Linked DNA regions of Drosophila melanogaster. The protein of the gene in region 2 interacts with the protein of the main gene of each other region in a pairwise test. Each region holds a gene or a part of one and is shown on either strand. Other genes may lie near its edges.

Region 1 (3,572 bases), on a different chromosome or scaffold from region 2:
CTTCCTGTGGGCCAAGTACAAGGCCATTACCAATTCCAAGTCCACCGCCGAGGACGACGTCAAGGATCAGCAGGCGATTGCGCGCGAATGGAAGAGTCCATGCTTCCACTGGCTGGCCAAACAGGCTTTCGACGAGCTAGTGGTAAGTTGGTAACATAGTCATGCAGCCTATTTCATACTAACTAACTCCGACCTTGCTTTTTATAGGCAATCAGCGAAACCGAATGGAAAGACCATCGCACTGTCTTTCCCTCTATAGAGTAAAGTAATTTGGAAACTAGACACCTCCCCTCCTTCTCAACAGCCGAATATGCACTGGACCCATCAAAGGAGGAAATAGAGCGTGGGTTCTTCTTCAGCATTATTTTATGGATTGTATGAGTCTGCATCTAGTTGTATTAGAGACCTTTATTATTGCACACATGAAGAACCATCCTCTTGACTTTAAGAAGTAGATTGTAATTATGTCGCAATGCTTTTACAAATAAATAACTTACCCAGATGGGCGTCTCTTGCGCCCTGGGAAATAACTATAATACTGATCAGAAACGTTCTTCCTATTTGGAAGGTCCGATAGCAATTATGTCTTGTATCTTCAAAGCATGTATTTTGGCGAGATATAAACTCAAGTTCATGAAATCTGTATGTATACAAATGACGCTAGAAGAATCCTATTGATAAAGAAGTAGATTGTAATTGGAATGAATAATAAATACATAACCAGCACAGAAACTGTTTTGCCTCAGCAAAGGGTAACCGAATTATTACTTCAGACAAATTAACAAGATAAGATATGAAAATATTGAAAATGTGTAATAAGATACAGTGGCTTAGTTAATATGTCTTTAACAATTTTATTGCCAGCAACAGAGGGTTTCACAGAGTGTTCATAGGTGTCTTTAATTTCTAGGTTACAATAGATTTGAATCCAATTCAGACTGGCTTATATAAGCATGGTTTTTGGCGTAGAAACTAAGCGCCCAGCTGCTTGTAGAGGATGGGCACATAGTCGTCGTACTCAGCCTGGTAGAGGTTACCGGCAATGGGATTGCCGAGGGCGTACTTCTTGGCGAACTCGGCGATTTTGAAGCCACCGCGTCCATCTCCGCTGTTATTGGGCAGTCGCTTCTCGTCGAATGTGAGCTTGCACCGCTGCTCGTAGATCAGGAAAACGTAACGATGGAGTCCGGTGTCTGGTGGAGGCCCGGATCCCACGTAGGCGGAGAGAACCTCGCCCTTGGCGACATCTCCACCGGGTATGTTGCCCACCAGCCAATGGTGCCACTCCCTAAACTTGGGATCCTTGCGACTGGGCGCATCCGGATCGGTCATGCAGAGGGTGTACAGCTTATTGGCGTCCGCCTCCCATTTCACGCACGGCTCATCCTTCACCTGGGTGGGGGTCAGGACCTGACCCGGCTTCACGACAATATCGCCGGGATATTCCACCACAGCTGTCTGCGCCGGTGCCTTGGCGATCACATCCGGAACTACGCAGTGCTCCTCCATTGTTTTGCCTACTTTTTCGCAAGAATACTGCCGCTGAGATGCGATAAATGCAAAGATTGGTTTCGGTTCCTTGGTTAGGATAGAATTGCTAAAAGTTTTCAGCGTTCTAATGGCGGCCGGAAAGTTGACAGCTGAATAATTGACATTCACACCGGTTGATCGGATGTAATCTTTTCTAAATCCATTTAAAGCGCTGCGATTGAGATTACGCAACACCCGGAGCCGCATACAAATCATCCTTATTGCTTAAGTAAACCAAATTGGATTAATTAAAAAACTGTTTATTGTTCTATTTGCCGACTGACAATCGATAAGTTGCGATTCACCTGTAAGCGTTTAAACGTTTTTATCGCTATCGATAGGAATGTGTGATTTTGAATTTCTAATCTTCGAAAATATTTGCGCAGTCTACTTGAGAAAAGCATTTCCGGGAAATGAAAATAAGGCTGTGAGAATACTATAAGCAACTGAAATCATCATGGCTTGGGTTCCCACATCACGATTCGAGCACGATCTGGTGCAGTTGGAGCCGCACTTTAATCTGGTCCATGGACAGATCGCCTATGAACTGAGGAAGAAAGAGGAATTCTCAGAATCCGTTCCCATTCATACCTATGAGCTTTTGACAGCCCGCGAGGATCTGCTTGGATATGGCACGCGGGGTGGAAAGGGCCGAGAGATTCGTCAAAGTCTGCAAATGATGGAGACGATTCAGAGAGTAGCTGGCACCAAGCCGCTGGGAGAGCACGCCACAATGGAGGACTGGGAGGACACCACAATGGTGGACGTGGAGGCGATTGCCATCATCCGGAACTTCGGAAGAATGACCCTGAAACAGGACTCACTGACACTCCAGCCGCAGATCAGCTTACCTGCGGTTGCTCCAAATGAAAGCCAGCGATTTCCTTTAATCACAGATCGCGACTTCTTCACGCCACGAAAGATTCGTAGACCAAAGGATCTTCCGCCAGTGGAGAACAGTCCGGATAACTCAGCCGATGACTCATTTCACACCGCTAAAAGTCTGAGCAACTGCATCTGGCTGAACGGATTAAAATATCCAGATAAGACCAGCAAGGGCGAAATTCAGAATACATAGATACTTCATTAAATTACTAACTAACAAACCTTGAAAATAACTTGAAGATTTATTTTACTAAATCCGATTGAGCATGTACTCACATTATTTGCAATGAATATTGTCGTTCGATTTGGAACGACCTACATTTACCAATGTAGTAGAATATTTTAATGGTTTTTTTTTAGTAATACATAGATACGAATATCATATCAAAAATCAAAAAATAAAACTACAATTACAAATCGTTTTCATTAAGTCGTGTTTAATATATGTAAGTGTAACCTAAACCTATGTGCTTATGCTAGCGAATGTATGAATAACAAGAGTGAAGGAACAATAAATGGAAATGATGAGATGAAAGTGATTGCAGGTGATATGCACAGATATTTGGACCAATGCCTCGTTTACGGAGTAAAGCAACCTTGTCTTCAGGTCAGCCGCTGCAAGGGATGTAACTAGACCTGGTAGCGCTGCTTGTGTCAGGCCTTCCGGAAGATGTCGCTGGATCCGTAGGACAGCCGCCGTTCCTTGGTATTGCTGGTGACCAGCACCTCCTCGTCGAACTGCGACACCCGCTGCATTTTCGGTCGCATCAGTCCACGTACATCGTTCAGCGATATATCAATATCTCTGAACGCGTTGAGCAGGAACACAGCTGTGATAACGATCAGGAAGCCGCACACATCGCCGAGAATATCATCGAACCGCATGTGGGTGAACTCCTTGAAGAGGATGGCAGACGCAGCTATCACCAGGGTGGTGAACATTACATAGTACACTGGAGTAACTATACTAGTATTGAATATATCCAGCGCCTTGTTCAGATAGTTCATCTGGATGGCTATGAAAGTGACGGTGACCAGGATCAGGAACCATGGCATCCATGTGAGGAAGACGTTGCCTCCGTTATTCAGCGTCTGCCGTATGGCTAGGCCCAATGCCTTGCAGGACATCACAGTCAGAGATCCGATGCCGGAGCACA
Region 2 (3,018 bases):
TTAGCGTGATCAGGAGCAGCTCCCGGGACTCATCCAAGTTGATGCTATCGATGGCCACGCGTATGCGCGCCATCATGTTCAGGATGCTGATGCTGTGCACATTGAGCTCCTTGGCGTGCAGGACGATCAGGTTGGTGATCGCGTTCAGCTGGAACTGAATGGACACGGTTCCCTCACAGGCGCCGGTCGTCAAGTCGGGATGGTAGTACACCTTGTACTTGATGGGCGTCAGTTCCGTGGGCAGGCGCCATTCGATCTGCGGGGTCGTAAAGTTTATTTAATATCCACGCCATCGATAATGGGCTTTGGCCCTATTAAGTGAGCAATGCGTTGATAAGGTGGCGATAGGAAATAGCACTGTTGTGGTCAGGTCGTAAACCAAGTGGACGTCGTTGCAACAAATATGCCTTAGCTGGATATAGTGGCTAAATGTTGTGAAATTAGGGTCCTAATTTATTAGGTGCAATTTCAGATATCAAACAACAATAGCTCTACTACACAAATATTGAAACCTAAGCGTATTTTGGTTTCTTATCCGTTTGCCTTTATTGCTTTATTGCTTTAACCATTTTTGGAAATAGATATGGATTTGAAAGCCATCTTTTTGAATGTTTGCCAGCACCCTAATTCTTATGAATTTCTTTCCGAAATGGTGGACAACAAGTGGCTTTGAATGTATTCCTCCAGAACATCCAACATCCTTTTGGCTTCGTCCAACTGCAGCAATAAATTATCCCTGTGGACGGCCACAATGACAAGGGCAACGATCAAGCAGGTCGATAATAGACCAAAGAATATAGCCACGCGCTCAGCGGTGATCAAGTCTATGAAAATATACATGAATCGGTATCGGTGTTTTCCCAAAACTTCCTTCGTTATCAATAAATACCCTTAATCCTGTCCTGCATGTGTCCCATTTTTGTGGCTCCTAACACTGCGTTAGCCGCAATTAAACTAACTTAAAAGACCCAAGAAATTAGACCCGTTTTGTATTATGATAAAAAAGAGGAAAAAAAACGCTAGCCAAGCGATAAGCACTTGAAATGACCAGTAAGACTAAGTTGGAACTTAATAAATTCGAAATTAGTAGCCATGCCGACTTTACGTCTAATCGCTGAAAATTTTCCCACTCTGTGTGAGGGTTTTTCTGAACTAACATCTTTTATAGCCGTGAAATATATTTTTCTTGCACTTCACTCACCTTTTCAGGATCAGGAAGTCCTGTCGGCAATGTCGGATAGATGGGATTGGTGGTGCTTCCTGTACTGGATGATGGCGAAGTTTCACCACCCGGAGATGTTCCTGCACTGGGGGTTGTGTCACCTCCTACGCCAGGTGTGGTGGTAGAGCCAGGCTCGGTGTCATCCGTGGGCCCATTGGGATTTGCAGTGGTGGTGGTCGTGGAAGTGCTGGTAGAGGTGGAGGACGTGGACGTGGTGTCCACCGTCAATGCGTCGATCTTATCGAGGGCATCCTGCAGATCGTTCTCCAGGTCCGCATTCTGAACGGCCAGCACAATCGTGGCCACACAAAAAGCAGTAGAGGCCAGGCCCAAAAAGATGGCCACTGACTTAACCGTCAGCCCTAAAATGAGTTCACATTAGTTACTGTTCCTTCGGGATATGCTACTCTATATAGAAGACTCACAGGCAACCATTTTTAGGGATATTCTTTTTTCGATGAAAATTACTCGACTGCTTCCACTAGGCTGGAAGCCAAATTGGAAACTGAATGCAAGTTGCGAATCTGACCCCACAATTTGGACTTGATAAACCTGATCAGATTGCTGACCGATATCTAGACTATATACTATATAGCTTCGTGTCCAGATAAAATCGTTTTATGCTAGACCATTACTTTTACGATTCGAACAAGGCCATATATCGACTATTATGACTGGACACTCTAATTACTCAGGATAATTACGCATGGTCATGATTCCGCATTGACCATATACTCAAAGACCCTATCTCCAATTATTTCCTAGAAGCTATAGAAATCCCCACTTGCCTCGGATAAAATGAATGAAAATATGGGGGTTGTATTTATGGTTTGATTTTGAAATTTCATTTTATTGAACTCGAACGGAATTTTCGCTTATGCAACTCTAATTATTGGCTAAATGGCCAGTTTATATACAATATACAATTTTACAATTGGTTTTTCTTGGTCAGCGGCGAGGCCGTTCCACTTAGCCAGTCGGTGATGTCAGCTTCGTTTCTGGATAGCCATTCGATGTTGTACTTGATGGTTTCCACGGCCTCCAACCGGGAGTTAGCTCCAGCTCCCGATTCGGGGTACTTGGAGAAGAAGTGCTGAACCTCCTCCAGTTTCACGGAGCTGGCAAAGTTGGCCGTAATCTGGGCGATAAGTCGTCCAAAGTTGCGGTTGTTCAGGCCAAAACGGGTGGTGAGTTGGGGCCACTGTTCGCGGTAGAATTCCCAGACCACCGGTTCACCCACAGGATTGGCGGCTATGTACTGCACACAGGTGAAATAGTCCTGGGAGCGAACGATGCTCTCATCACTGGAGGCCTGTGCCAGGAAGTCGAACAGATACTGGCTGTTCCGTACGCCAGACAATCCGTACATCAGCTTCAGTTTCTCGCTGGCATCGGTTTCGGCCACAAAGAGTTGGAACAACTGATCCCAGCTCGATTGGCTGGTGGACTGCTGCATGCCGTAGTAGTAGACAATCTCGCGAAGATCGGGGGAAGGTCGAGTGGTCGGATTCTCCAGGAAGGTGCTGAAGCGCTCGGAAGCCTGCTGCAGACAATCTGGAACACCCAGGGCACAGGCGGCGGTCAAAATGGAAACACGCAGGCGGCTGCAAAGGAATAAAGATTGTTTGAATAACAGTAGTTTGAGTAATGTTTTCAGAAAAACAAGTTGGTACTTATATACGTACTTCTTCAAGTGATTGTCGGCGTCCACAGTCCAACCCACCTCCTCGTATACGCCAGCGATCAGACTTCTGGCATAGGTGAGGTACGACACGTATCCCTCGCTGAACATGAGA

What was found.
Region 1: the proteins of CG43208 (region 2) and CG6180 interact in a two-hybrid assay, tested with the Drosophila melanogaster proteins (one large-scale study listed by BioGRID).

What each region holds. Positions count from the first base shown.
Region 1 is NT_033779.5:12,705,945-12,709,516, reverse strand, and holds CG6180 (uncharacterized protein), read right to left. Parts: upstream 1,857-3,572; 5' UTR 1,747-1,856; coding exon 973-1,746; 3' UTR 837-972; downstream 1-836. Other genes in the region: CG5787 (uncharacterized protein), read left to right, coding at 1-142, 208-264; CG15484 (uncharacterized protein), read left to right, coding at 1,988-2,608; spict (spichthyin), read right to left, coding at 3,070-3,572.
Region 2 is NT_033777.3:13,301,364-13,304,381, reverse strand, and holds CG43208 (uncharacterized protein), read right to left. Parts: upstream 957-3,018; 5' UTR 918-956; coding exon 890-917; intron 825-889; coding exon 631-824; 3' UTR 526-630; downstream 1-525. Other genes in the region: CG8774 (uncharacterized protein), read right to left, coding at 2,151-2,826, 2,908-3,018.